Linked DNA regions of Arabidopsis thaliana. The protein of the gene in region 2 interacts with the protein of the main gene of each other region in a pairwise test. Each region holds a gene or a part of one and is shown on either strand. Other genes may lie near its edges.

Region 1 (6,388 bases), 1.3 Mb from region 2:
AGCAGGAAACCTTTCTGTTTCTAAAGGCACAGATAACACAGCTGATAACTGTATTGAGATATGGAATTCTAGATTGCCTCCAAGACCTCTTGGGAGATCAGCTTCTACAGGTGATCCATTTAACACAAGTTTTCATATGATTAGTTCCTATTGTATAAAGGAGTGGTCTTTAATGACTTATAAATCTTTTTTGCAAATGGTTACAGCTGAGAAAAGTGCTGTTATTGGTAGTTCAACTGTACCGGATATCCCAAAATTTGTAGACATCGATTCAGATGACAAGGATCCTTTACTGTGCTGCCTCTATGCCCCTGAAATCCACTACAATTTGCGTGTTTCAGAGGTAATTCCTAGGCTTTGATAGTCTCTAAAGAAACTTGGTGAGCCAAAGGACTGAAAGTTTTATTGCTTGTGCTTCTGTGTCACTTCTCTTCTGGCAGCTTAAACGCAGACCACTTCCGGACTTTATGGAGAGAATACAGAAGGATGTCACCCAGTCCATGCGGGGAATTCTGGTTGATTGGCTTGTGGAGGTTAGTGTTTAGTTCTACTTTTGATGCTAACTTTTGAAGCTACTATGACCTTTTCCGGGTTCTCACAAAAGTCTGATTTCAATCACAGGTCTCTGAAGAATACACACTTGCATCTGACACTCTCTACCTCACAGTGTATCTCATAGACTGGTTCCTCCATGGAAACTACGTGCAAAGACAGCAACTTCAACTGCTCGGCATCACTTGCATGCTAATTGCCTCGTATGTTCCTCTCCAATCTCACTAGTAAATCTCTTCTCAAAAGCTAAACTAAACTTATACTGCATTTGTTTATAAACTTTTCAGGAAGTATGAGGAAATCTCTGCTCCACGCATTGAGGAGTTTTGCTTCATTACGGATAACACCTACACAAGAGATCAGGTATACCGAGATTGCTGTCTGAATCCTCAAAAAAGAAAGTGTGCAATGTGCTAATGGAGTCGTGATGTGCAGGTCCTGGAAATGGAGAACCAAGTACTTAAGCATTTTAGCTTTCAAATATACACTCCCACTCCAAAAACGTTCCTTAGGAGATTTCTCAGAGCAGCTCAAGCCTCTCGCCTGGTATGCATTTCGCAATTTGCTCCCCTATCTCTTCTAATTACAAAGTTTAGTAGAAAGACTGAGAATGTGTCCATATTTGATTGCTGATTCGGCAGAGCCCAAGCCTTGAAGTCGAGTTTCTAGCCAGCTATCTAACAGAGTTGACATTAATAGACTACCATTTCTTAAAGTTTCTTCCTTCCGTTGTTGCTGCTTCAGCGGTTTTTCTCGCCAAGTGGACAATGGACCAATCAAACCACCCATGGGTCTGTGATGTTGCTTCTCTTTTGTATATCCAGACACAGTTTAGCTCCACAAAATCTTTGATCTTTAACATCTTTTTGATTTTTCCCCCGGCAGAATCCAACACTTGAGCATTACACAACGTACAAAGCATCGGATCTGAAAGCATCTGTTCATGCCTTACAAGATCTGCAGCTTAACACCAAAGGTTGCCCCTTGAGCGCTATACGCATGAAGTATAGGCAAGAGAAAGTAAGCTTATCAGTTAAAACCACATACTAAAACCTGTTTGGTATAACTTTAGTTTGGTTTCCTTGATTCTCATAAGACTTATTATGGATTTGCAGTACAAATCTGTGGCGGTTCTCACGTCTCCAAAGCTACTTGACACGCTATTCTGAAGGTTTCAACTCCTAACCGATAATAGTTTTGTCACATTGATGGTCCAATTTCGTTTTCATTCATCTGTTACTCTTTGTTCATAAAACAGAATTTCCACAGTCCCACTCATCTAATACCTGATTAGAATTCGGTTTAGCCTAGTTTGATCCGTGGTTTGGTTCTTCCAAACCCGGGAACATCTAATCGGTACCTAGAGTTTTTTTTATTGTAACGAGAATGTACATTTTTCTCCCATCTTGAGGCAATGTAAACAGATTCGGAATTTTCATATCAGTTTTCTGATATGAAGTAGGTTTAAGTATTTATATTTCAAATTTCATTGATTGTTGATATTGAACTGTCATGCAGTAGCTTATAAGAACCGCCTCTAGACTTTAGTCCAGTGACCAAAAGATAAAGATGAATGAACTATGTCAAAGAAAACAACTTCTACAGAAATTTCGGAAATCTTAGACTTCCGAAGAGAAATATTGAGTAACTGCAAAAATGTATATTTAGATATCTGTAAGGCTCACTCACATTCACATGTGACTATAAATATCATTCATCCTCTGTTACATGATCTCTTCATAATCCTTAACCTCTTGCACGATCCAAGGAACATTCTGCACACAAATAGTTTCATAATTTATTAGATATCAATTAAATAAAAGAAAGTAAATTTGAATGTTATAGAGGTCGCTAGAAACTTACTCCCAAGGAACATCTCCAGCAAGCATCCAATCTCCATCTTTGTCTTCATATATTGGTACACATTCACTTTCCTTCAACGTATCATCTTCATTTTCATATATAAAGATTATAAAGTTAATATCGATGTTTTGGATCATTAGTTGCCTTGATAAGTAAAGACTAAAACCAAAAATATATACTATATATAGAAACATAAACTAACCAAAATTGATATAGCATCCGAACAGAATTTGCAGAGCGGAAGCAAGATCTTGGTAACATTTGTACATTTCCAAATCAATCTTCCTTAAAAATGCAGCTCCATCTACACTCACTTTCACGTACGAACTTTTGGTCCGTTCGAGACTGTTCTTTCTCCGGTACGAACAAACCGGTGGCCAACCCACAACTTGACTCTTTTTCGCCGGTTCACATTTCAAATCAATCTCTACTTCCGGAGAAGCCCTCTTCTTCCCGGAGATGGACTCACCGGAGACGACGATATCTCCGGGAAGACCTAGCCGTAGTTCGGTGATTTCGAGTCCAAGATTATTACTCTCATTCGCCATCTTTGATGTTTTTGATTGAAAGTATTGGTGTTAATGTGTTTGAACTTTATTCTGTTGCCACTTTATATGTTCTCATGGGAACATAAACGATGGCGTTTGAGACAAGCTTGTTTAGCATTGATTTATCTTGTCGGCCCCATTCGAAGATCTTGTCGAAATTTTTATGTCATGTTTTTTCATTCCTTTGCCGCTTCGTGTTTAAATGTCGATAATATGGATCCGTTGGTTCGACACACTGGACGGCCACGATTTTGTTACCGACAAAGTAGGGTTTCTTTCTCAGCCGTTGGATCAGAAACACGTTACTTTCTATTAGACATCCCATGTTATGTGTGATTTGTTATGTCTGTATCCCATTCTTTTAATCAACGACATAATAATAAAACAACATATTCATGGTCGAATATATATTAGTGCACTTTAAAATCTACGTATATTTATGTTTCTCGACAACCGAACACGTGTTACTCAAGGCTAAGACAAGTTATTATATTATTTCATTTTTTTCTACACGTAACACACTACACAGTGCATACATAATTTCAAAGAAAAAAATGCATCTACGTTTTCGTCATATATCTTGTTTCTGCTATTCACACATGTGCCCGATACTTTCATTACATCATACGTAATCTACACATGTACACCATACTTTTGTCATTATTTGTTACGAAATAGAAACAGAACTGATCAAAATATCAATTACGGGATATATTTCCATTTTTCATAGATATTTCCATATCTTTGTATCTCCAATAGTACATTTTTGGAATGTTCACATGTTGATAGATAAGCTAGATTAGTCAAATTTCCTTGTACACAATTTCTAGTTTTCGATTGATCATGTAGAATTGCGTATAATATATTGTCGGCTGGCTTTAGCCAATGAATAACACAACAAGACTTTGTGATAATGGACAGCGAATCCCACAGTGATAATGATGATCACATAATCGACATTACAAACGATGAAGATTCTTCATCAAGATCGTCTTTGGACGAGAGAAGCTATCCTTCATTAAGTTCGTCTCTGTCTACGGATGACGAATCGTCAGATGAAGGTGCAAGTTCATCTACGAGAGACTGTGGTAGTCTTTGGAATATAATGGAATTAGTAGTCACTTTGGTTCAGATTGTTGCATCATTAATAGTTTTAACTCTGGCAAAAGATGAACATCAACAAGCACTTTTGTTAACATGGGTCATCGGTTACACTTGTGGCTGTATTACCATTACGCTCCTTATTCTCCTCTCGTGTGTCCGCAAATACAACCGAATTGGTGTTTACTCAAAAACGAGGTATAATAAACAACACTTGTTTCACTTAACATTAAGAGTTTAATTAGCTAAATCAAACCGAACCGTTGTTGGTGGCAGAACGGATAGGGTAATGGATGCTTTGAAGATGGGGAATGAATGTTTCTTTGTTGTGTGGTTAGTTATGGGGATTCTATGGATTTGTTATGGACACTCATCTTCTTCTGATACTCCTAAGCTCTACAGGTTTGACTCACAATCATGTCACAGTAGAGATTTAGTTAAACCCTAACTAATCAGTACTAACTTTTGTCTTCTTGATTATGTTTTGGCAGGTTATGTGTAGTCTTCATTGCTTTCAGTTGCATTAGATTTGCATATGCATTACTATTATGCGCAGGTATTTTTTTCGCTTAATGTTCACTAGAGTTTGGAACATTTTTTTCTCATATCTATGATGTGGATAAGTTGAAATCAAATGATGTAGATTCTGTAAGGGAAGGTATAGGAGGTAGATTTGTTTTCAAGAAACCGAGCCATGATGATGTGAGTAATAATTTCATATCACATTAATTACTCTGTTTTAAATAGCATTTTTTTGTTGTTGTTGTTGTTTAATTTTCATGGTTTGATGGTGTGTGCAGAGTTGTTGCATATGCTTGGGGAAATATGGAGAGGAAAAAGGAGTAGGACTAAGGAAACTTGAATGCTCACACGTATTTCATTCGCAATGTATAGACAAATGGCTGAAAATCAAATCCACATGCCCTCTCTGTCAATCACAAGTTAGGTGGTGATGAGATGAGGTTGATTTTTTTTTTATTTTTTTTTCGCTCAAGAGTAATTGTACACATTCAATAAACAAAAGTGGTGGGAAACTGAAAGATACGATCCTGTCTTCTTGTGTTGTCTGTCTTAAAACAGAAAATAAATATCATACAGATCATTTGACCTATTAACAATTTAACTTGTCCAAAACATCTGCAATATATATAAACATTGAAATCTCAGCTTTGATCTTCATTTTTCAAAATAATGTTTTATTTGTAACACGACTAATACGTACTTAGTATTGATCTGGTCTAAAAAAATACTAATAATTTTATCAACAAAGAAGGAAAGGTATATGCTTTGTGCTCGTCAACGCAAATTTGAATGAACTTTTCATTTGATCGGCAAGAAATAGGAAAAACCAAAAGTGATCAATGGAGGGCCCTTTGTTGAGCGAGTGTGAACACATCATTGACATTACAAGCGATGGTAGTTCTTCATCAATTGATGGTCAGCAACCACACGAGGGTGTTGAATTGGGTGATCCATACACAAATGAAAGCATTTGTAATTCAATCGAGTTTGTTGTGACTTTGGTCTTGATTGCTGCGGTCATAATCGTTCTGATTGAGCCAAGAGATGAAGAACATCCACAAACAATGTTGTCTATATGGATCATCGGTTATACATGTGGCTGTATTGCCACTCTCCCTATCCTATGTTGGCGTTTTTGGCTTTATAACCGAAGCGTTGGCTCCGAATCTACAGATGAATACTTAAGAGAGACAAGGTATATATAAATTGTGTTTTCTTTTATCTTTTTATGCATTAGATTGAGATATAATGGTTTTATTGGTTTGCAGAATCAACAAGGATATGGACTTTTTTATGACGGGTTTCTTCGTGGGTTGGTATGTGGTGTTTTTATGGATTCTTTCTTCCAAAGCATTCGACTCATCAGCTCTAGATGATACTACAACTCAATACTTCTGGTGCGTATCAAACGAAATTTCCAATCATATGTATACCTTAAAACGTATATATTGACCTTTCTTATACTCATGCCTTTGGCCTTCTTCATTGTCTCTTTTGCAGGTTATGTTTGGCTCTCCTTACTTTCAGTTGCATTAGATATGTTCTTTTTAATCTAACATTGGCAATGGTCTGTTATACTACTCCTTTGCTTTTACTTACGCCTGTGGTCATATGTGTTCTCCTTGCTGTGGAAGTCTTAAAAGGCATTGTAGCATGCATTGTATCATGCATCTGCTGAAATCGAACTAATAAAAATATTTTGTTTGTAAGCCTAGGAGAATGGGCGTTTAAAATCAAAGTAAAGCAGAGTACCAGAATAAAAATGTTTTGTGTTCATGTTGATGATTTTAATCTTATTAAGG
Region 2 (10,837 bases):
TAATAACTTCGATTCAATCTACAGTATTTGACCAACATGGTTAGTTAACTTATGTTATTTGATCATACAATACAAACGATCATTTTGAGTCTCTACAGTAGCTGCCAAAGTTAAGAATTTGGTTGTTCTCTTAATCTGATCATATTATGTTTTAAATATTTTTTAGTTACCAGCCATAAGTTATATAGATAAATAATATCGTAGTAAAGATTCTAACTAATTGGGAATTTCGTTAAATTACGAGTTACAACTTTATGAATCCTCATGTACATGTGTGCTCGCCTGCTCGGTCTTAGCAAAAATTAATATGCGAAGCCAATTAAATGTACTGATGAGTCTGTTTGGGCTAGATTCATCCGTATCTGGGTTAATTATTGGATTGAGCAAATAAACAAATGTAAAACCAAGTTGTAAACACAGTAAACGTTAACCAGTTTTTTTTCTTTTTTTTTTTTTTTTTTTTTTTTTTTGCTGACTAGATCATGAATTCGGTTGTAGTATGCAAAATAGAAATGAAAAATGTGAATAATCAAGGGTAAAGTGAAATTTCTCCCCACAAGTTGTGTAACAACAACTATATCGATTAACGAGTCAAAAATTAAATTACCACATGAAAAATGTCAAAGTTAATTAGGAACTTTTTTTTCATTGAACCAATTAATTTTTGATGAAATTTATGGTTTATTAATCTGACACAACACTGTATAAAAGATTTTTTTTGTTAAAAGTTAAGAAAGAAGAATGTTGAGAGAACCATCAATGTTAAACCAATAGATGATAGTCAAGATTCATAGTATAAAAATTTACCACATTGGTTGAGAGATCAATTCCTTTCACCATAATGTCAATCATAATTAGCCGCTAGAAACGTTTTCTATGTCAAAAATACACAGCTTTTTCATATTGATTTTGGTTCAGAATTTCATGGTTTTATACCTTGTTTGATAACGTCATTAGAACATATGTACTTTTGTACTACTGAAACATTAAACTAGTGTGCAAAACAAGATTTTAAGATAGTCTAAATTCCAGTTAACAGAAAAATAAAAAATATTGTTGGTTGGGAAATAGTAGAACAAACGAGAGAGAGAGTGTGTGTGGTTACGATGAGGAGAAGAGACATAGAGGCATACACTCACTTAAAAGCAAAACCATTTTGGCTAAACCGAAAGACTCGGTCGGAGTCTAGAGCCTGTCTCTCCCGACATCCTCTGCCACACCTCACGTGCATGCTGCACCCACACTCACGTGCACATACATTTTTCTTGTGTTTTAGTTATTTTAGTAAAAACGATATATTTATTGACTCTTTCTGTAATGGTGGTAGAAATTGAGGAATTCACAAAAGTCCCAAGTTTTTGTTATATATGGTGCATGCGTATGTATTTGAGGAAACTTTTGCAGGATGCGTGGATCAAATCCAATTATAATTTAATTTTATATAGATATAAAAGTCAATAGTGGGAGGTGAAAAAAATATCAACAATGATTGAGTGTTACTACTACTAGAATGGTTAATTCGTTTTGATGAGGAGTGATTTCTAAACACATCAATTGTTGTACGTACATATACTCTCCACGCGCAGCAAATATTGACCCAAAAAGGCATAAAAAACACTAAAGCATGCCAACTTTTTATTCTTGTTGAGATTTACTTTGTCGTCCCATATCTTTTCAAATTTTGATCCTCTATAATATATGTTTAAACCTAACTTATCAAACTTTACATTCCTTTTTCTTTTGCTCACTAGGTAAGGCTCTTGAGATCGCTTCACCTCATCTCTTGTTTAACATTTATAAACATGTAGCTGTCTGGTTAATCAATTTACATGTGGTAAATTATAAATTACTCTAGAAAGAGATGTATATTAAACTGCTAAGTTCATGGCTAATCTTCGGTATTTCTTGTTTAACCGCGATAAGTTGAACATATATTAATGAGCTCTTATGGTTTTTGTTTAATGTCCATTTGGAGGTGTGATCATCTCATATGTTCTCACCAAAAGATTACCACTTGAATTCTTTTACATGTGAAATGTTTTAATTTATTAACCCTCTTCTGTTTTGATCAAAACATAAACTATATATTTGAATCTTTTATATATAATTCATATTAATTAAATAACATCATGTTTTCAATGAATGTATTGACATGATATCAATGAAGAATATTTACTTTGGAAAGAGTCAGAGTTGTTCTCGAAAGATATTTAAATGTTCCAAATTATTTCCGTTTGTCTAAACATAGAAAATCCCTAATTACATATAAATCAACAAAAAGGTAATAATTAGGTCAAAACCTCCCCCACTAAATACATGTATACTGAGATTCAGAAATACAATACTATTATAGTATATGTTAATTGAAAGCAAAATTCATAAGAAAGATCGGCGTTGAAAGGAAAAAGGCTCTACAACTACATTTTATATGCATACGTAGAGAGCTGAAAGTAAGGAACAACTCTACTCCGGTCCAGATTAATTGTAAAGAACTTTATACATTAATTAAAACAAAAACGAACACTTTATACTATTGATTAAAAAAAGAAGAAGATGAATAAAATAATTGCCTGAAAAATTAATAATTACACATGAAGGCTTAGCTTTAATTGGAGTATAATGATGTCCGTAGCTCTGTAAACATGTGAAGTTCTCCTCCTTTTGCGGCTAGTGGGTGCTCCATTGCGTATCAAAAGGAATATTATTCTAATCATAATTAAGTCATTAAATTACTAGTAGTGTTTTTTTTTTTCTCGCATTATACGGACATGTCTCAATTTGGACCAATCCATATAAATGAATAAACTTATTAGCTACTACTATATTATAACAGAAAATATGTATATAAAAGAAAAAAAGTGGGACATCTTTTCTGGTAACCAAGAGTTTACAACTTTGGATTAGAAAATATTTAAGTCCCCATTTGGCTTGCAATTTTCGGTCCGCCGAACCTAATCCTTAGGTTTTTCTCAATATATCCGGGTTTATGGTATAACCTCATTCATAAGAAAATCCGTATTACTAAAGTAAAAAATTAAAAATATGGTTATAAAAACGAGGGAAAGTTAACAGATTTTAAAACCATGGACTGTTTTTCCAACAACAGTAAATTATAATCGGAAAAGATAAAAATAAAAAGAAATAAAAAAGGTGGGACCGACAAGAAGAAGACATCAAGTGGGGTGCCACGTCAGAAGGCATAAGAAAAGATTTCATCTTTCCGCATGTATCCGATCCCAATCGGCTTAAATCTCAATATCGATTATTGTTTTTATTTTTTTGAAAAAACACTTGAGAATCTGCAGAAACACGAGAAAAAAAAGAAAAGTTTCAAAGCTTTTTAAGAGCTTAAAAATTTGCTTTGAAGCTTCAAATATTCTTATGAACTAAAAAGAAGAAAAAAGCTTTTGTTTCTTTTTCCTTAGCAGCAGAATGATTTTTGTTTCCAAAATTATTACTATTTAGTTTCTCTCGTGCTCTTCTCTTGAGCAAATACAGATTCGTTAATTTTGCTGAAGAAGAAGAACTCTGTTTCTTCCCTGCACCAAACCAATTTTTTCGTTCTTTCTATAAACCATGAAAGCTCCATCAAATGGATTTCTTCCAAGTTCCAACGAAGGTACACAAGCTTTATATTTATCTTCTTCTTTTCCAGATTTTATACTATTCAATTTCTTCATCAAGGAGTTTCTGCATTTCATGTTTGTGATTTTCTCATTGAAAAAATGAATTTTGTTATTCAATTTCAACTTTGGAGTCAGCACAAAGTCACAAATCGAGTTCTTCTATCACTTTATTTAATAAAGTGGTTGAAACATAAATGCCGCTCATAAAATTTCCAGACTTTAAATGAAACTATGCAAAAATTCTATCACTTTTAACAGATTTGAATATGTGTGTGATGATGATGAACAGGAGAGAAGAAGCCAATCAATTCTCAACTATGGCACGCTTGTGCAGGGCCTTTAGTTTCATTACCTCCTGTGGGAAGTCTTGTGGTTTACTTCCCTCAAGGACACAGCGAGCAAGTAAGTTCATTGCGTTTCAAACTATTTTGAAACCTTTGGTAGCAATCTAAGTAATATGTTCAATGAAACCTTTTTTCAGGTTGCAGCATCGATGCAGAAGCAAACAGATTTTATACCAAATTACCCAAATCTTCCTTCTAAGCTGATTTGCTTGCTTCACAGTGTTACATTACATGTAAGTCTCTTCTGACTCCAACTTGTGAATCAACAAGAAGATGAACTAATCAGGACTTTTGTGAAATTCTGAATCAGGCTGATACCGAAACAGATGAAGTCTATGCACAAATGACTCTTCAACCTGTGAATAAGGTCTGAATTATATCATTCTTCTTGTGCTATCTTGGTTTAAAGTTGAGGACTTTAATGCTGATCTTTGCTCAAAATGTGTGACAGTATGATAGAGAAGCATTGCTAGCTTCTGATATGGGCTTGAAGCTAAACAGACAACCTACTGAGTTTTTTTGCAAGACTCTTACTGCAAGTGACACAAGCACTCATGGTGGATTCTCTGTACCGCGTCGTGCAGCTGAGAAAATATTCCCTCCTCTTGTATGTCTCTCTGATCAAAGCTACTCTCAGTTTCTTTTGCTTCAAACTTTTGAATCTGTTTTGCTAAAAGTTCTAAGGGTGCTTAAAATAGGATTTCTCGATGCAACCGCCTGCGCAAGAGATTGTAGCTAAAGATTTACATGATACTACATGGACTTTCAGACATATCTATCGAGGTTTGAATCATCTAAAGTTTGTTTTATTAGTCTAAAAGATTGAAAACTTCAACCTGATTTGTTTTCTTTGATGTAATCTGATCTCAGGCCAACCAAAAAGACACTTGCTTACCACAGGTTGGAGCGTTTTTGTTAGCACAAAGAGACTATTTGCGGGTGATTCAGTTTTGTTTGTAAGGTATGAGTCATACTTTGATCAAAACATTAAGCAGAATTGGACTTTCATCTTCTCATAAGGGTACTTGGGTTTGCAGAGATGAGAAATCACAGCTGATGTTGGGTATAAGACGTGCAAATAGACAAACTCCGACTCTTTCCTCATCGGTCATATCCAGCGACAGTATGCACATTGGGATACTTGCAGCTGCAGCTCATGCTAATGCCAATAGTAGCCCTTTTACCATCTTCTTCAATCCAAGGGCAAGTCCTTCAGAGTTTGTAGTTCCTTTAGCCAAATACAACAAAGCCTTATACGCTCAAGTATCTCTAGGAATGAGATTCCGGATGATGTTTGAGACTGAGGATTGTGGGGTTCGTAGATATATGGGTACAGTCACAGGTATTAGTGATCTTGACCCTGTAAGATGGAAAGGCTCACAATGGCGTAATCTTCAGGTAATGACATATCCGAGTTATGCTAAACTGTTTATGATGGTCATTTCTTCTGAATCTTTTGTTCATGGTTTAAACAGGTAGGATGGGATGAATCAACAGCTGGAGATAGGCCAAGCCGAGTATCCATATGGGAAATCGAACCCGTCATAACTCCTTTTTACATATGTCCTCCTCCATTTTTCAGACCTAAGTACCCGAGGCAACCCGGGATGCCAGGTGAGTTTACTGCTTTCGTTCATTTTTTTCCCATAGATCTTTGACTGAGTTTCCGGATACTAACCTTGGTGGTTTGTTGCAGATGATGAGTTAGACATGGAAAATGCTTTCAAAAGAGCAATGCCTTGGATGGGAGAAGACTTTGGGATGAAGGACGCACAGAGTTCGATGTTCCCTGGTTTAAGTCTAGTTCAATGGATGAGTATGCAGCAAAACAATCCATTGTCAGGTTCTGCTACTCCTCAGCTCCCGTCCGCGCTCTCATCTTTTAACCTACCAAACAATTTTGCTTCCAACGACCCTTCCAAGCTGTTGAACTTCCAATCCCCAAACCTCTCTTCCGCAAATTCCCAATTCAACAAACCGAACACGGTTAACCATATCAGCCAACAGATGCAAGCACAACCAGCCATGGTGAAATCTCAACAACAACAACAACAACAACAACAACAACACCAACACCAACAACAACAACTGCAACAACAACAACAACTACAGATGTCACAGCAACAGGTGCAGCAACAAGGGATTTATAACAATGGTACGATTGCTGTTGCTAACCAAGTCTCTTGTCAAAGTCCAAACCAACCTACTGGATTCTCTCAGTCTCAGCTTCAGCAGCAGTCAATGCTCCCTACTGGTGCTAAAATGACACACCAGAACATAAATTCTATGGGGAATAAAGGCTTGTCTCAAATGACATCGTTTGCGCAAGAAATGCAGTTTCAGCAGCAACTGGAAATGCATAACAGTAGCCAGTTATTAAGAAACCAGCAAGAACAGTCCTCTCTCCATTCATTACAACAAAATCTGTCCCAAAATCCTCAGCAACTCCAAATGCAACAACAATCATCAAAACCAAGTCCTTCACAACAGCTTCAGTTGCAGCTACTGCAGAAGCTACAGCAGCAGCAACAGCAGCAGTCGATTCCTCCAGTAAGCTCATCCTTACAGCCACAATTATCAGCGTTGCAGCAGACACAAAGCCATCAATTGCAACAACTTCTGTCGTCTCAAAATCAACAGCCCTTGGCACATGGTAATAACAGCTTCCCAGCTTCAACTTTCATGCAGCCTCCACAGATTCAGGTGAGTCCTCAGCAGCAAGGACAGATGAGTAACAAAAATCTTGTAGCCGCTGGAAGATCACATTCTGGCCACACAGATGGAGAAGCTCCTTCTTGTTCAACCTCACCTTCCGCCAATAACACGGGACATGATAATGTTTCACCGACAAATTTCCTGAGCAGAAATCAACAGCAAGGACAAGCTGCATCTGTATCTGCATCTGATTCAGTCTTTGAGCGCGCAAGCAATCCGGTCCAAGAGCTTTATACAAAAACTGAGAGCCGGATCAGTCAAGGCATGATGAATATGAAGAGTGCTGGTGAACATTTCAGATTTAAAAGCGCGGTAACAGATCAAATCGATGTATCCACAGCGGGAACGACGTACTGTCCTGATGTTGTTGGCCCTGTACAGCAGCAACAAACTTTCCCACTACCATCATTTGGTTTTGATGGAGACTGCCAATCTCATCATCCAAGAAACAACTTAGCTTTCCCTGGTAATCTCGAAGCCGTAACTTCTGATCCACTCTATTCTCAAAAGGACTTTCAAAACTTGGTTCCCAACTATGGCAACACACCAAGAGACATTGAGACGGAGCTGTCCAGTGCTGCAATCAGTTCTCAGTCATTTGGTATTCCCAGCATTCCCTTTAAGCCCGGATGTTCAAATGAGGTTGGCGGCATCAATGATTCAGGAATCATGAATGGTGGAGGACTGTGGCCCAATCAGACTCAACGAATGCGAACATATACAAAGGTTAGAGATCTTTCTCTCCCTTTCCATAGCTCTAATCTTTTGCTTCTTAATTTTCGAATGCTAAATGCCGAAAGTTGTTAAATCATTGAAGGTTCAAAAACGAGGGTCAGTAGGTAGATCAATAGATGTTACCCGTTATAGCGGCTATGATGAACTTAGGCATGACTTAGCGAGAATGTTTGGCATCGAAGGACAGCTCGAAGATCCGCTAACCTCTGATTGGAAACTCGTCTACACCGATCACGAAAACGATATTTTACTAGTTGGTGATGATCCTTGGGAGTACGTTCCAGACCTGAAAAATCTATCTGTAACAGTCAAGATTGAACAATTCTGATAATTCTTGTCTGTTTGTTTTTTCCACAGAGAGTTTGTGAACTGCGTGCAGAACATAAAGATACTATCATCAGTAGAAGTTCAGCAAATGAGCTTAGACGGAGATCTTGCAGCTATCCCAACCACAAACCAAGCCTGCAGCGAAACAGACAGCGGAAATGCTTGGAAAGTACACTATGAAGACACTTCTGCTGCAGCTTCTTTCAACAGATAGAAATAAAAAGATGCAAATATACCAAGTCAACTTACATTATCATTCGAGGCCATCGCAAAGTACATGTTTTTTTTTGTGTGTATGTACTGCAAACAACAAACTGAGAAGAAGAAGATACTGCACGGTATATAAACATTTTTATAGGACAGTGATTTGATTTTTCATTCTAACTTGATGTTGTTGTACTTTCTTGTTTCCATATTTGTATAACAAGTATAATGCTTGACAAGTCTATGAGGAGCATATCTTATACAGAGATACTAAGATGTAATGTTAATGTAACTAAACAATTACCTTCATTAATCATGAATCTTTGGTCGTTTCTTCTTCTTCTCTTCAGTGCCTCCTAAGAATCAGGGATCATTTCAGATTCTTTTATACCAGTATCCTCTAGACGCAGCGAAATATTCAACATTTCAACGTTTGAAAACGAAAAGAGAGGAGTTAAAGAAAGAATCACGTGAAAAACAAGGACAAGGACAAGAAAACCAAACAGTCTCTGAGATTTCCCGTGTGAGTTGTGACCCACACACATTAAGACTCAAGCTTCTAGTAACATCCGCCACGTGTCCATTCCCCTGACACTTTGCGGCGTTTTAAGTACAAACGCGCTCCCTTTGACCTTTGAAGCTGACCTTCTTTCTTCTTCACGCGCCATAAAAAGTCAAAAACTCACTCTTCACTCTTTTATTTCACTCGTATAAATAAATTTCTGAAGCGCCAAATACAATTATCTCAATTCAAATCAACACTAACACTGAAGAACAGAGCTCACTGAAAAAACTTAACAGAACAAAATTAAACCGGAAAACAGAGAAATCATACCGGGTTGGTTCAATCGCGTCTTTGTTTGGTTTAATCGTGATGGAAGGGTCGTCTTCTTCGATGCAGTCAAAGTACAAAGGAGTGAGGAAGAGGAAATGGGGAAAATGGGTTTCAGAGATCAGACTTCCCAACAGCAGAGAACGTATTTGGTTGGGCTCTTACGATACTCCTGAGAAGGCGGCGCGTGCTTTCGACGCGGCTCTTTATTGTCTCCGTGGCAACAACGCAAAGTTCAATTTCCCTGATAATCCTCCGGTGATCTCCGGCGGACGTAACTTGTCGCGATCTGAGATAAGAGAAGCTGCTGCGAGGTTCGCTAATTCGGCGGAGGATGATTCAAGTGGCGGAGCAGGATACGAGATACGGCAAGAATCTGCTTCAACATCGATGGACGTTGATTCGGAGTTTTTGAGTATGCTTCCGACGGTTGGTTCGGGTAACTTCGCTTCGGAGTTTGGGTTATTCCCTGGGTTTGATGATTTCTCCGATGAATACTCCGGTGATCGTTTCAGAGAGCAGCTTTCGCCTACACAAGATTATTATCAGCTTGGAGAAGAGACTTACGCCGATGGTTCCATGTTTCTTTGGAATTTTTGAATTCCATTATTCACAATCTGAAAATTTTGACTTGGGTTTTTTATTTTTTTTTGTAGTTCTTTACCCAATTTTTTTTTGATCATTGGGATAAAGAGTTATTCATTCACTATTTTTTTCCCACGTGTTAGATTTTTCAGATGGGAAAAGGCCAAACTTAATAAAACAATTATATTTGGATCTTCTGACGTCATTTGATCATATTATCATGATATCATCCACTCCAATCGCTTTCACTAGGCCCAATTACAAATCTTATTTTAACTGTACGATTAAGCCCAACAATAATACTTCAGGCCCATTAAAATCAATAAGGGTATTGTCTTATTAAATTTCAATTACAATTTTTACTTTAAGTTGTACGATTAAGCCTAATAATAATATTTCAGGCCCATTCAAACAAAGGCAATAAGGGTATTTGTCTTATTAATTTTTATATATTTATTTTCTGATATATTTGACAACGACCTTATTAATGTTTTAAGGGTTTTCAATATAATCATTTCAATGAATATCTTTTAAGAAAAAAAAATATACAATTCAGTAATCAATTAAGCCAGTGAAATTCAAGGATTAATTGGAATTAAAAAAATTGAAACAAATAGTTTAAAATTGTTATGAAATTATGCTACTATAATTTATCTAAACCAAAACGAATATTCTTAGCCACTAACTATTAACTTGACAAATCCTACAGTTAGTTATATTCAAAAAAAAAAAAAGAAGAAGAAGAATTAAGAATCTAGTTACGTAATTGTCTCAAATTCAAATTACATATTGCATTATATGTTTACAAGTGGCAAAAATGTTAATATAATATGCAGTAATTTTTTAAAAATAGAATCTGGATATATTGAAAGGAAAAAGAGTTTAATAGATAACGTAAAGAGCTTTATTAACAAAATGCGAATATCCGACCCGTAAAGAAATGCGGATATCCGGTGGGGCTAAGTCTGTAGCTTCTCCATTTCATCTTCTTTCTCTTCTCCACAATCAGATTTTCCTATAAGATTTGCTTCTTCCATTGCTCTTCTCATCGTCATATATCTTTCTGTTTCTTTTTTTCAGTTCTCGATTAATATGTTATCAAGCAATCCAATGACCTGGAAACTCTCCCACATGGTGGTTCCAGGTAAAAACTCCACTATTTCGCCGGATTATTTCACGGCTAGTCAAACAAGTCCTTTAGATATGATGAAATTCCCGTCGCCTGGAAGTTCGAAGAGGTACGATAATGGCGGTGGAATTGGTTTAGGTATCGTCGCTGCGCTTGAGAAATCCAGCATCGGGATCAATCCGGTTTGCCATACCGGTGCCGGTTCCAAAGGATTTGACCTGGCTCGATATTCCAAGAGATTCCAATTCGCGGCGGGGATTGATCTATCTGACTCTGAGGAATACACTTGCGTCACGACTCGTGATGGCCTGACCAAAGTCTATTACAAGGAAGAAGAGTT
Region 3 (6,990 bases), 5.6 Mb from region 2:
GAAAGTCCTAGCTTTGACGATACCGGAATGCCTTCGATTCCACGGAAATGGAAAGGGATTTGCCAAGAAGGAGAAAGTTTCAGTTCTTCGAGCTGTAACCGGAAGCTAATCGGTGCTAGATTCTTCATCAGAGGACACCGTGTCGCTAATTCACCAGAGGAATCACCAAACATGCCTCGTGAATACATTTCCGCAAGAGATTCAACGGGACACGGGACTCACACCGCCTCAACAGTTGGTGGATCCTCTGTTTCGATGGCGAATGTTCTTGGCAATGGAGCTGGTGTGGCTCGTGGGATGGCTCCTGGAGCTCACATTGCAGTCTATAAAGTCTGTTGGTTCAATGGTTGTTACAGCTCTGACATTCTAGCAGCTATAGATGTAGCGATTCAAGATAAAGTCGATGTTCTTTCGCTTTCCCTTGGCGGTTTCCCTATTCCTTTGTATGATGACACAATCGCCATTGGAACATTCCGAGCCATGGAACGCGGTATATCTGTAATCTGTGCAGCTGGTAACAACGGTCCAATCGAAAGCTCTGTTGCAAACACAGCTCCTTGGGTCTCAACCATTGGCGCAGGCACGCTTGATCGAAGATTTCCCGCTGTGGTCAGATTAGCCAACGGAAAGCTTCTCTATGGAGAGTCATTGTATCCGGGAAAAGGTATAAAGAATGCCGGGAGAGAGGTTGAGGTGATTTACGTCACAGGAGGAGATAAAGGAAGTGAGTTCTGTTTGAGAGGGTCACTTCCAAGAGAAGAAATCCGAGGCAAAATGGTGATTTGTGATCGCGGAGTCAATGGAAGATCGGAGAAAGGAGAAGCGGTTAAAGAAGCTGGAGGAGTTGCAATGATCTTAGCCAATACAGAGATCAACCAAGAAGAAGATTCTATTGACGTTCATCTCTTACCAGCTACATTGATTGGTTACACTGAGTCAGTCCTTCTGAAGGCTTATGTTAATGCCACGGTGAAACCAAAGGCGCGGATAATTTTTGGTGGTACGGTGATTGGGAGGTCACGAGCACCGGAGGTGGCTCAGTTTTCAGCTCGAGGACCGAGTTTAGCCAATCCTTCGATACTAAAACCGGATATGATTGCTCCGGGAGTCAATATCATTGCGGCTTGGCCTCAAAATCTAGGACCAACCGGACTTCCTTATGATTCAAGAAGAGTTAACTTCACTGTAATGTCAGGAACTTCAATGTCTTGTCCACATGTTAGCGGAATCACTGCTCTTATCCGGTCTGCATACCCGAACTGGTCTCCAGCTGCAATCAAATCCGCATTGATGACAACAGCGGATTTGTACGATCGTCAAGGGAAAGCGATAAAGGATGGTAACAAACCAGCCGGTGTGTTTGCGATTGGAGCAGGGCATGTGAATCCGCAAAAGGCGATAAACCCGGGATTGGTTTACAACATTCAACCAGTGGATTACATAACTTACCTCTGCACTCTTGGATTCACAAGATCAGATATTTTAGCAATCACTCATAAGAACGTGAGCTGCAATGGAATATTGCGGAAAAACCCGGGTTTTAGTCTCAATTACCCGTCGATAGCCGTGATTTTCAAACGTGGCAAGACTACGGAGATGATCACAAGGCGTGTCACTAACGTTGGGAGTCCTAACTCGATATACTCAGTGAATGTCAAGGCTCCAGAGGGGATCAAAGTTATTGTCAATCCTAAGAGACTTGTGTTCAAACACGTGGATCAGACGCTGAGCTATAGAGTATGGTTTGTATTGAAGAAGAAAAACAGAGGAGGGAAGGTGGCTAGCTTTGCACAAGGGCAGTTGACTTGGGTCAACTCTCATAATCTGATGCAGCGAGTTAGAAGTCCAATCTCTGTAACCTTGAAGACTAACTGAGCCAATGAAGGAAAACGTTTTTCATTCTGTTTCAAGACTGTGTTAGGTTTATTAGGTTTTTATGCTAAGAAAACCTCGTGAAGCTGATTGATTGTTGTTATTGTACGCACAAGAGCTGTATTTCATTTTCCAGGGAATGAAACTACTGGTGATTCTATCATATTACTGTAGCTTGATTTCATCACTAAACCCTAATCCAGATGCATGCCTTTGTTGTTATAGTGGTATATTGGATCAGGCACCAATAGAGTGAAAAACCCTAAATATACAAAGATCTTTAAAGACAAGGTTAAGCTGTTGTTTGATATTCACAAACGACCACAAGACATATGTACACTCATGTATAAACATATGCACATGTATATATGTGAATGTGATATATGAGTTACAGACCAAAGAGATGTAAACTGTTTTTGCTATATAGGACTCTCTACTTACCTACTCCAGCTCCAATTGATGTCTTCATGATTCTCAGTCTTGTCACAGACCCGAGGAACATCCTGAGAAGATGAAAAGATCGTTTTCATTGAAATGGATGTGCCACATTACAAATACAGATGATGAATGGGAAGTTATAAGGGTAGTCACTTACTGCCAAGGAACATCTCCTACAAGCATCCAATCTCCGTCTTTATCTTGATATGTTATGATATATTCCGATGAGCCATCCAGTAATTTCGAAGTACATGTTTCCTTAATTGTCTTGTATCCTTGTGTGTTGGATCCTACAAATCGATCAATCAAAACCAGTCAATTTCAAGAGACACAGAATTTGAAAAACAGAATCACATGGAATCTCATGAAACAGAATTAGTAACTGACTTGTTACAGGAGAAGGAATCTGGAAAAACATTAGATCCAAAGTTTTCTCTAAGGCTGCATAAGAATCCAGAGCATTGAGATCAACCTTCCTTCCAATTATAACTCCGTCCATTGTCACCTTCACAAGCATAGAAGTCCTGGACGATTTGATAAAGCAAGCATCATCGTTCTTAGCAGCAACCACTACACTTTTTGTAGTCTCCTTTTGAATGCCAGAACTCAAGCCGCCTTCCGTAGCTAAAGACTTTGCTTGATTGACCAAACTGTTGATTCTGTAAGTCCGTAGAGGCGGCCAACCTACAGCAACTTGTCTGCTCCATTACCAAAAGATATTAAATCAAAAGACGAACAAGTATAAACCAATATGATTCAAAAGTTTAACTAAACATTTCAGGGAACACTCTATTTGATTCAATCCTGTGATTCATTCATTCTCAAAGTTTAAGGTCTAAAAGCTCTATCCTCTAAGTTGCTTTGATTCTGTAACAATAAGCAATCTGAGACCAATCATTCATATAGGTTATAATATAAAGTCTCGAAGATGAATTTTTTACCTGGTTGCGTTTGAGGCGGCAGCCGGAGAAGAATCAGCAGAGCGTTTGGTCCCACTTTCCCTGGTCAGAGAAGAAGACGAGGAAGACAAAGACGATCGAACCTTCCGACGACCAATGCTAAGACCCAAAGCTAGGTCGAGCTCTGTCTCTGACACTGACTCGTCGGGGCAAGATGAATCCTCCGACGAATGTGCGGCGTTTTCGTCTTCTTCAGCTGGTAGTCCGATCATCACCGACCCACTTGACGAACAAACTTCTTGCAAACCATTCATTATCCCAAATTGCCAAACGAATACACAAAGCAAGAACACTAAAACCCTTGATTCAAATCCAATTATCGATCAAGTTTGAAGAAACCCATTAACCAAGCAAACCAAAAAAAAGGTTTCAACTTTCAACACCTCTACGATTCTGAATTTCGAGACAGAAAAAAAAAAAAAACTTGAGGTCACGCACGGATCCACAGAACTGAAATTGAGAACTAAACGAGGTTTTAATCTTGATTCGAGGGCGACTTCGATTCTCGGATCAAAAACAAGGAATTTTTCTTAAAGAGAGAGAGAATGAAATTGGAGGAACGAAAAATCGGAAACGGTACACGAATGTGTGCGTTGCGTTTGGTGGAGGTTTGTTCGTCTATATAACTTTATTATTTTAATTAAATACATGATGGGACCCACTTGTATACACTTCTAACGACAAGTTTTACGTTAATCCTACGCTAATTGTGTAATTAATCTCTTGCGCAATCAAAGCTTCATCTTCCTTTACAAGTTACACAGTTAGGGCTCCGATGGTAATCTCACCACATCTGTTTCCCAACAGTGAGAATTTCAACATCTTTCATCGCCATACCAATTGTTCTTCTCCTTTGGTCCTGTAGGACCTTCCTCGCCGGATAATTCCACCGGAAGTTTTCTAAGCACTGTGGCAAGCGAAACCCTAACCGTCCTCGGAAATCGATTCACCAATCTCTCTATCTCCTCTCTTGAATCGTACACAACCTTTGGTCCCCATTCTCTCATGTACTGCAACCACGGCGGTTCTGCCAACACACTGTTTCCGCTGAGATACTCCGCTGCAATGATCTCGTACCGTGAGCTCGAATCTACCAAGAGTTCACTACGCGCAGTGTCATTTCTTATCCCAATCCCAAGCATTGTCGATCCCTGTAAGTAAGTCCCAGCCCTAGGAAAGCTTGCGTGACCATGTTTTGAAGAGTAAACAACGGCTTTGTTGCTTCCGGGAATGATTTCAAGGTCGTATGCTTCGATCCACTCGCCGCCACTGTGTTGAGACAAGTAGATTGAGTAAAGCTCACCAGAGAAATTGCTGATTCGGAGAGTGAAATGTTCCCAATCGCAGACGTGTTGGCCAATACTGATCAATGAGATATCGACGAGTCCTAGTTTTAAGGTTGCTGGTCCGTTAAATGGACAGAAGATCCAGAAGACAAGATCCGTGAACGTTCCTCCAAGAGCAGGCTTAATATGAATGTAAAGTTTCGAGCTTTCAAGGTTTCCTCGCTTGACGAAATCTCTTTGTTGATCATCACACGGCAAATCAATCCAAAACTGCTTGTCATTGCTTCCTCCTTGAGGCAAATTCGAACCATTTTCATCGATAGGTTCCTCGATTGGATTTCCCTTTTCGCAGAGAACTGCACCATTTTTGAAGAACCACGAAACAGAAGAAGGTAAGTAAGTTTCACCAGGATGGAAGACTAGTGTAGGACCATAGTGTTGAATCAAAGCTTGAATCTGATCAACATTTGGCATCGCATGTAAACTCAAATCTAGATTCTTTAGACAAGCAATACCGATACCAAGATCTTCTCTAGCAGCAACAAGCCGAGTTCTGCAGAAGAAAGTACCTGCAGAGACACCTTTGCCCCACATTCCTCGGTCTGAAGGCCGAGTTCTCCATATAAACAAAGGAACACCTAAAGATTCTGAAACAGCAGTGACAATGACATTGTGGGGTTCACATATATCAGTAAGATCAGCTCTAACACATCTAACTTCATTCAACTCAGGTTTCACGGAAGTCTTTGTAACCACAAAACCGATCGATCTATACCCTTCAGGAGGCTGCGGTAACCAGAAGTAACCGCATTCGCTCTTACTACTACATTCATTTTCTGCTGAATCATTTGAGCTCCAGACAAGAGTAAAATCAACAGGTTCCACTAATGCAGGTTTCTCTACCTGTTCTAATGAATCCACTAAATCTCTTGCCGCAAGTACATAACCTCTCAAAGGATGAGAATCAGACTGACAGTAGTGACCTAAGCAATGGAAGTCTTTAGGTAACAATCCCTTTGGTTTGTAAAATGAAATGTTCTTCTTCTTCTCTGTGGATCTGTATCTCCATATAAATTCAAAATCCGTGATTTTGATGACTTGTAATTTGCCGAGATTGATTGTTCCAGAGCCAAAGCCTTGACCTGATCAGTTTTCAAAGGATGGAGAGACAAAATCTAAGAGACCCAGCTGAAAAATTTCTTCAAAACGCAATCTTTAAAGAATCCTCTTTGAAAACGCAAAAGATTTGATTGACCATTGTTCGAATTAGATTAGTGGATATAGAGATCTGATTGAAAAACCCAATTGAATTTCACGAAATTGAGGAAAATCGAGAAATAAAAATCTCTCTTTTGTCAAGGCTTAAGAAACCTAAAATTGAAATAGAATTTTTGAATTCGAAATCGTTGACAAGAGAAGTCGGGAATTGAATGGAATTGGAGTTACCTGGAGGCCAATGGGGAATGGAAGAAGGAAGAGAGAAGGTTTCAGGGTCCTTTAATGGCGGTAAATCTATAAGATTGTTCCAGTGGAGACATTTGTAACCCAACATTCTTATCTGATCGCGCGAAACCCTAATTAATCAGGAAGGTGGAAATATGTCAGCTTTGTAGCATCTCATCACTTGTTTACCATTTCCTTCGGGCAATAAATTAAAGATTTTCCTCTTATTGAGAAAACCAAAAAGTCATGAAACTGTTTTATCCAATTCCACACATCAGCGAATACCTTGGGGAAAAAGTAACTTTGGTTTTTGAAGAAACGCCACAAGAAAATGATGATGAACACGAAAAACTTGGACAGTCGCACAAAATATGTTTTGTTTCAAAATATATCTAAAAATCCTCGCATATTTACCCCATAAGTTTTAAAATTGTATATTTTTCCCATTAAGTAAGAATTCGAGGTCTATTCTTTTCTTTTTGGAAAATTAAGTTCTCTAAGCGTCGTTACTTTTCCTTTTTTTCTTCTGAGGAGTTTAACTGAGTTAGATCATTGAAACAGTACTACCCGGCTCCATCAATTCAACTTCTCTGGTTACAATCTGTATCATAACCGGCGTAAATCCAAGAACTTTTACGAATCAAACAAACTGAAGAAAAGTAAATATCTATTGTCACTGATCGAGAAAAGAGAGACATGTAAACATCCAGACACTAAATTTGAGTAGATAGAAGCAAATGGTTATCAATTACACTACAAAAACGACCAGCAGCAGTAATAGGCTCAGTAGTACGTGTTGTAGTACGCTTGAGGAGCAACAGCAGCAGCCGGTTGCTGCACCGGTGCAGCCGCTGGTGCTGCTGCTGCAACTGGAGGTGCATAACTCTGCGTTGGGTATGTCTGCAAAAAATTTCACAAAGATAAGATCCAAGTTAGATGATCAAAGACTTATCTCCAAGAGTGATTCCCAATTCAAACTGGTGGCTAATCCC
Region 4 (6,866 bases), on a different chromosome or scaffold from region 2:
TCTTACAGCAATGATGCAGATGGAGAAAATTTTGATCAAAGCCTTTCTCTGCTCGTTTGTTGTTATGTCTTCCAACCTTTCTGTGAAGCAAGAATGGGAGGCATGGTCGGTGAGTGTTCTGCATCCATTTTTTGGGGGTAAAAACTTCTCTTTGTCAAATGTGTTTGTACTTTTGTTCTGTTATTAATGTACTGAAATTTTTGTATGTTTCTCTCTCCCCCTTATGTTAGAGCTTAAGCTGATATATAAAAAAAAAACAATGTAATAGCAAATCAACAAAACATTCTGTAATTTCTTGGTATAAAAAGCTTTTGAAGTTGTTTATTCCTTAATCTTAAAATGTTTGCCTTTTATTCTGCAAATTGATCAGTGTTTACTCAGTAGTGAATAAATAAGGAAAACAACAATCTCTCTTTGTTTAATTGTTTAAGTGAAGTAAATGTGTTTCTCTTTTGTAAAAACTGAGGGGTTTTTACTATATTTTTTGTGAAAGTAATTTTGGTTTATGTAAATTTATGTTGAAACAGACCAGCTCTTGTTTTACTTCGTGTTAGCTTTTGCTTCTTACCAAGTTACCGTTGTTACGTGGAACCGAAACAAACCGTTTTTTCGTTAATCTAGGTTAATCTAGGTTAATCTAGTGGCTCTTTATAATCTCTGTTTCTTCTTACGAAACAGAGGATCGGATTAAGAAAGAACGAAAAGAGAGGATTTTTAAAAATACTTACTACTTGATTGGTCACTGATTGTTTTAACGTTGAAATATCTGGTCTGACAGATTTACCCTTGGATGTACTCGACAAGAAAAAAGGAAATTAGTATAGTCCGACGTTGTTTCGTTGCGTGGGCCTGAAGAAAGCTTCCTTTAATTTCCTTTTTTGTTTGGGTCTCTACTCTCTACAATCTATATAATACCTGAAACTCTCTACGCTCTATCTCCATAATTCGATAACCAAATTTGATAGAGTTAAACCCTAGTTAGATTAGGAATGGAATCTCACGTTTTGTTCAACTCCTCATCGATGAAGAAGACTCTTTCTTCCAGTGAAAAAGACGCTTATACTTACAACAAAGCTCTTACCTTGAATCTGAAGAAAAATAATGTTGTTAAAGTATGTTCGGGGTTGAAGAAGAGAGAACATCAGAGTTCGCACGCTCATGAAACCGGAGAAGTTAAGCAAATTGATGAACAGAATCATGTTCCAGAAAAAGTATCCATGAAGAGCGTGAGGGATAATAGTACTTGCTACAAGGTTCGCCTAACGCTACAGAAGCCTGATGTTGTTCAAGTATCCTCAAACTTGAACAAGACAGAAGATCAGAGATCTAGGGCGGCTAATCATGAAACCGGCAAGACCAAACAAAATTTGAAGAAGCCTGGTGATTACAAGTCTTTTGCAGCGAGAACTATTCAGGTGAAGAAGAAATCAGCTTTACCAATGAAACTTTCTAAAAACCCTAGATCCGGGGAACATGGGCCACCTGTGAACGCATCTAAAGGTTGTCCTGTCTTGAAGAAGAACGACAAGGATTTGTTGGAACTGTTCGAGATCGCCAAAAAATCTGCTGATTTTGCCAACGCAAAGGGAATCCTCGCGTCTGAAGTAGAAACATCAATGTGCGTAGATACCCTCGCTTTGCTCTTGGAGTTCCCCATCAGCGCAAGAGCTATGGAAACAAGGAAGCTCATGGTTAGGCTAGAGAATCTTACAAAACACAAGAACCGAAAAATATGCAATTCTGTTTCAAAACTTCTTCAATGTTGGAGGCAGAGTATCAGAGATCAACAACTCAGAGAGTCCCGTAAAACTCAAGGCTAAATGTCACTAGGGAATTTAAAAGCTTATGACTTGAAAACGTTGGTTGCTTGCTTATTCTTTTGCTTAAAGTAGAGTATTGTAGTCACTGCTTCAATTACATTACTCAAAAGCTAACAGTGAGAGGAATATGTATGTATTAAGGATTTTCACAATCACTATTATAAGAAGTTTAACCTGTGTGAAACGTTTTGAGTTGTAAATACATTATGAGTTTTGTAATCTATTTGCTTTCTTGCCTTATGTTTCCGTAACCCCATTTGATCTGAGTAGTTATTTGTGGATATATTGGCATAGTTCTAAGATCATTAGAGTAGACTCATCAACAAAAACCCTTAAAAACGATATTAGATAAGCTTCAAATATTTACAGTGTAGTAAAAGATATAAAGAGCATTCTCTTCCATCCATAGTATATAGTGAAATCGCAACCGAAAATTAAAAGACAGCAAAAAAAAAAACTAAAGAAAACCAGTAAAAACCATTATAAGAACCAAGAAAATACACAAACTGGATATAAGATCAATCTAGCTTATGCTTGCTTCAGAAGTATCTCAGACTTGCAAAACCCCAAAATATAAAACCTGTAACACCGTAACGTCGAAAAGAGATCTAAACCGGCTGCTTTCGCTGTCTCTCGTTTGGTTCTTGATTTCGTGCAGCTGCATATATATTAACATGTTTTAGTAGAAATTTTTCATTGCGTCATCTTGAGAAACAAGAACAGGAATCAAGATGAGATTATCTACATACCGAGTCCATTAGCTTCAGAGGTTTTCATCACACGTAGCCTTTTCACCGAGTTGATGAACATTCTAAGATAATTCCAACAAAAAGACCATCAGAAACATTTATTGGAAGTGTAAGAGATAAATAAACAAGGTTTTTAGATCTATTACCTCCATGGAACATCACCAACAAGCATCCAATCTCCTTCCTTATCTTCATAAGTAAGTACAAACTCAGACGATCCATCTAAAAGCCTCAACGGTTTAGTGAACTGACTGGTTAACCCGACAGTACCCGGATTAGTGCGAAAGAACATATCTTCCAATGTTTGCGCCAAATTCTCGTAAGAAGAATGAGCATTCAAATCCACTTTTCTTCCTATAGCAACTCCATCCATGTTCACCTTAATAAATCCAACTTGTACTTTCCCATTCACTTTCTTTGTCACATCTTTAGGTTCATCATCTTTCACTTTCTTCTTACCAGCTTCTTCTTCTTCTCTTGCTGACTTTGTAGCTTGGTTATTAACCAAACTGTTCATCCTGTGTGACCCTATAGGAGGCCATCCAACAACTTGACTGCTACAAACAAAGCAAACATCAAGTCAGGACTTGTAATCTATCCAAATGAATCAAAACCAAGAACAGATTCAACTATTCAAGATTCCTAATTCCAAACCAGAGCATTTCTTCCGACATAACTCAGATCAAGTATACATCCAAACACTAAAGAATCTTTAAGAAACTCCTAAACGAACTATGTTCAGAGAATAGCAATTTCACATCATACAAAAGGAATTAAACATCTTAAAAGATCTTTCTTTGAAACCAAAAAGCTTGAAAAAGACGAACCTTGAACGAGGAGGAGATGAACCAGCATGAGAAGCAGAATCAGCAGCACGTTTAGAACCAACAGAAGGAAAATCCTTAGCCGTCAAAAGCCTTCCACGCTCTCCCCACGCGCCACCACCACCTGATTTACCAATCTTGGCCGCCGTTCCACCGCCAAGACTCAGCCCTAGACCAAGCTCAAGCTCACTCTCACCTTTCCCCATCTCAAGTTCAGTAATCATCAGAGAGACCACAACAACAACAACAAAAACCCACTAAAAGAAAGAGAGCCCTAGAATCCAAAATCAATCCAAAAGAAAGAAAGAGTCTTTTGAAAGTCAAGAAGGCAGAGAGAGCAAAAAAAAACAACCTGGGAAAGGAAGACAAAGAAAGAAAGAGAGAGAGAGAAGGAAACAAGAAAACAAACAAACAGAAAGAGACAGAGAGAGGATTTTAAGGGTTTCTTGAAATCTGAAAGAGAGTTTCAAGAATTGAGGAAGAAGAAAGAGAGAGAGGATTAGGTGGTGGAGAGAGTGATGAGAAGAGTAGGACCCATATGTCTGGTAGTGGCCATACCAACAACAATGCCATTCTTTCTTCTTCTCTTTTACCCTTTTTTTATTCCCTAATTTTATTATTAACAAAGAAATTCTTTTTAACTTTTCTTCCCGACATTATCAAACTTGTCGTGCTCCCGTTTACCTTATTGTTTTCTCCTGTGTTTATAAAAAAATATGATAAACAAAACAAACATATCTTATTAAACTATATTAAATATATAAACTGTTGTTTTTGTGTTATGTGTTTGTATTTGTGGAAAGCTTTGTTTTTGCATCACACTTTCTTTTCTATTTTTGCAAGAATTTGTATTCGTTTTGATGATTGCTATATTAGAGTTTATTTTGTATTCGTTGCGTTTGATCTTATCTGGTTAGCTATGCTTTATATCATGTTCATAGTAACAACTGTTAAATATGTGAAAACGTATAGCTAAGTACCAGTTTTGAAAAAAAGTTGAATTTGGGTTTAGTTTTGGGTCACTATATGCTCATTTATTTTCTTTTCTTTTTTTCGTGGAGGACTAGACTATGATGGGTTCCAAATAAAGTGAGAACAAAATTGGTTTTCATTATAAGGAATTATTAAATAAATAGTGGTGATGAGATTATTCATCATCATGTTTCTTGATGTGAGCTATGATGATCCTTTGAAAACTTTTTCAATCGCAATTGATGTGTGGAAAATTCTCTTTTGATCAAAATCATGACTAAATGAGAACATTGAATTTCATACTCTATTGATGGATTTGCTAGAAATACCAAACTTAGTTTCAAGAAATATGTTGAAATTTCACAGTATTAAGATACAGTAATATTTCACAACCAAAAAACAAGTACAAGTTTGTTCTCTTTATTTATTTAGAAACTCAGGACACCTGAACCTCTTCAGACTTCAAAGCGACTTATTCTCACAGTTCCAAGTACACTAACAGTTAGTCAATATCAAATAGTTGATTCTATGTTTTTCACGTTATCTACGTTTGTTCTAGAATTGCGTGTGATTTTTATACTCGTTTTTTCTTTTTCCCTTCTACTTATTTTGCATTTTTACTCACTTGTTAGTTTTTATTTTTTTCTTAGGCGCTACCTGTGTCGTTCCTTTATAGGACAAAAGGCACGAACATTGCTTTAACTATAAAGTCGATACCCAAGTGGGCTGTGGGGTTGTCTGTAAAGGTGAAATAAGAAAAATAAGTAGATTATACGAACAGTTATTTATTATCTATCATATAGTATTAATGAATGCTGTTTACAAATGTTTATGAATTAGAGAGAATTCGTAGGTTTTATAGTAACTTCGGTATATGATTTTTTAGTTTAAATAAGAAATTTATTAATGAGTAAAGTGAGGACTTATATACATATGCATAAGAGTAGTGATGCAAAAGAAAACGTAAACAGAGCAAAATAACAGCTTATCTCCGGAAAATAAAACTTAGGTCTAAATGCTCAAAAAGTGGTTTAAATTTGTATACTATTTAACACGATAACGAAAATTGTAGATGTGAGTTTTTCTCATTTACTATTCGTGTAAAGGAAAAGTTATACATTCTTTTCTTTTGTAAAGCTTTTTCAACGTCCTGAATTTTTTAATTGATCTAGTTCGTGTATATTTCAATGAATTAAAGTTATGTATGTAACGAATTACAATTGATCAAATATACCGTGAATTGTGTTTGTCTCTTGTGAACATGCAACAAGTTGAAGGTTAATATCATTTGGAATCATAAGGAAAAGACAAAAGCAGATTCATGATACATAACTTGTAATCAAATGGTTGAAGATAAATGATGGAGATGACTTCACGCTTGTAAATATATATTAATATATATATATATTGATAAAGTATAAACGTTCCAAAATTGTAACATATGTGACATTCCAAATGAATTTTCACGCTTGTAGATGTATATAAATAAATATACATATTTGTTTGATTTGATTGATCTTATATTATAAACATCCCAACAGTAACATATAACTATTCTAAGAAAAGATATATAATGAGAGTATTAGTTTGCAAGAGGATTGTATTCTGTAAAGTAAGATTAAGGACTAGTCATGATTTTTAGAAAGTGATAAAAATACTACATGCTAGACTAAAATCAATATGTAGAAAAATTAGTGTTTTTATTAGGACCATAACATAAAGACTTTGAGACTAAACAATATTGTCGATATATTAATATGTTTTACAGTAGATATTAAAAGGAAATTGTCTTTGTATAACAAAGTAAATGATCACTCGAAGACATTTAAGATTATCTTAGTTCTAATATGTGATTTCTCCTTACCTGAAAAAGGTCTTAAATTGTAGAATAAACTATTTCACACAGTCCAACTTTAGATAGCCAATGTACTATTTTGAATTAGTAGCATACTAGCATGGTCCATACCCATTTCATAACGATCTTTAAAGAAAAAGACCCAAAAAAAAGGTTACAACTTTATTAATCTTTAGCAATTAAAGAATTTATTGCTTCCGTTAGTATATATCAACGAGTTTTTTAAAAAAAATCCGAAGACATAATTAAGGAAGTTATACACAAAAATTTAGATATACGACTGTTAAAAATGGAAATTTATTGCATTCTTATATAAATCAACTTATCTCAAAACATTGTCTACATCAGTCAGATAGTATATCAGAATTGTAAGAAAAAACAAAACATATTACTTGCAAAACAGTAGAATGAAAATTCATTTTTATTTTTTTCACTAAAATGATGAAATGACAACAGTTGAATAAAATAAACTGAAAACTGAAGAATCATTTCACTGTTCTAAATTTTACCAGTCAGCAAATATGTGAGGAGAAATACTGTGACAAATTACTGGAAAGTAAATAAAAAATGGTTGTGAAAGGAGGAAAAAGGCTGTCGTTTTAAGGGGACAAAACGACAAGGTGGATCAAACCAAAAAGTACTTAAT

What was found.
Region 1: the proteins of ARF19 (region 2) and IAA5 interact in binary tests that used the Arabidopsis thaliana proteins (3 or more experiments, as listed by UniProt).
Region 3: the proteins of ARF19 (region 2) and IAA10 interact in binary tests that used the Arabidopsis thaliana proteins (3 or more experiments, as listed by UniProt).
Region 4: the proteins of ARF19 (region 2) and IAA13 interact in binary tests that used the Arabidopsis thaliana proteins (3 or more experiments, as listed by UniProt).

What each region holds. Positions count from the first base shown.
Region 1 is NC_003070.9:5,363,498-5,369,885, forward strand, and holds IAA5 (indole-3-acetic acid inducible 5), read right to left. Parts: upstream 3,001-6,388; 5' UTR 2,964-3,000; coding exon 2,618-2,963; intron 2,501-2,617; coding exon 2,416-2,500; intron 2,328-2,415; coding exon 2,267-2,327; 3' UTR 2,015-2,266; downstream 1-2,014. Other genes in the region: CYCA2;3 (CYCLIN A2;3), read left to right, coding at 1-110, 207-343, 441-533, 622-755, 840-915, 988-1,098, 1,194-1,343, 1,438-1,572 and 1 more; AT1G15590 (E3 ubiquitin-protein ligase), read left to right, coding at 3,877-4,262, 4,341-4,466, 4,708-4,735; AT1G15600 (uncharacterized protein), read left to right, coding at 5,426-5,781, 5,855-5,983, 6,087-6,264. UniProt on the Arabidopsis thaliana protein: Aux/IAA proteins are short-lived transcriptional factors that function as repressors of early auxin response genes at low auxin concentrations.
Region 2 is NC_003070.9:6,625,519-6,636,355, reverse strand, and holds ARF19 (auxin response factor 19), read left to right. Parts: upstream 1-3,222; 5' UTR 3,223-3,576; coding exon 3,577-3,619; intron 3,620-3,915; coding exon 3,916-4,028; intron 4,029-4,107; coding exon 4,108-4,203; intron 4,204-4,280; coding exon 4,281-4,337; intron 4,338-4,421; coding exon 4,422-4,577; intron 4,578-4,668; coding exon 4,669-4,753; intron 4,754-4,840; coding exon 4,841-4,931; intron 4,932-5,007; coding exon 5,008-5,368; intron 5,369-5,445; coding exon 5,446-5,584; intron 5,585-5,666; coding exon 5,667-7,411; intron 7,412-7,502; coding exon 7,503-7,693; intron 7,694-7,777; coding exon 7,778-7,961; 3' UTR 7,962-8,673; downstream 8,674-10,837. Other genes in the region: AT1G19210 (Integrase-type DNA-binding superfamily protein), read left to right, coding at 8,826-9,383; AT1G19200 (cyclin-dependent kinase, putative (DUF581)), read left to right, coding at 10,461-10,837. UniProt on the Arabidopsis thaliana protein: Auxin response factors (ARFs) are transcriptional factors that bind specifically to the DNA sequence 5'-TGTCTC-3' found in the auxin-responsive promoter elements (AuxREs). Could act as transcriptional activator or repressor.
Region 3 is NC_003070.9:1,056,342-1,063,331, reverse strand, and holds IAA10 (indoleacetic acid-induced protein 10), read right to left. Parts: upstream 3,863-6,990; 5' UTR 3,603-3,862; coding exon of another isoform or gene 3,524-3,602; coding exon 3,252-3,523; intron 3,050-3,251; coding exon of another isoform or gene 3,009-3,049; coding exon 2,698-3,008; intron 2,601-2,697; coding exon 2,468-2,600; intron 2,376-2,467; coding exon 2,306-2,375; 3' UTR 2,123-2,305; downstream 1-2,122. Other genes in the region: SDD1 (Subtilase family protein), read left to right, coding at 1-1,875; AT1G04090 (vacuolar sorting-associated protein (DUF946)), read right to left, coding at 4,085-5,697, 6,002-6,107; PRP39 (Tetratricopeptide repeat (TPR)-like superfamily protein), read right to left, coding at 6,782-6,898. UniProt on the Arabidopsis thaliana protein: Aux/IAA proteins are short-lived transcriptional factors that function as repressors of early auxin response genes at low auxin concentrations.
Region 4 is NC_003071.7:14,112,141-14,119,006, forward strand, and holds IAA13 (auxin-induced protein 13), read right to left. Parts: upstream 3,830-6,866; 5' UTR 3,618-3,829; coding exon 3,397-3,617; intron 3,127-3,396; coding exon 2,716-3,126; intron 2,632-2,715; coding exon 2,570-2,631; intron 2,479-2,569; coding exon 2,429-2,478; 3' UTR 2,141-2,428; downstream 1-2,140. Other genes in the region: AT2G33300 (Transcription elongation factor (TFIIS) family protein), read left to right, coding at 990-1,820. UniProt on the Arabidopsis thaliana protein: Aux/IAA proteins are short-lived transcriptional factors that function as repressors of early auxin response genes at low auxin concentrations.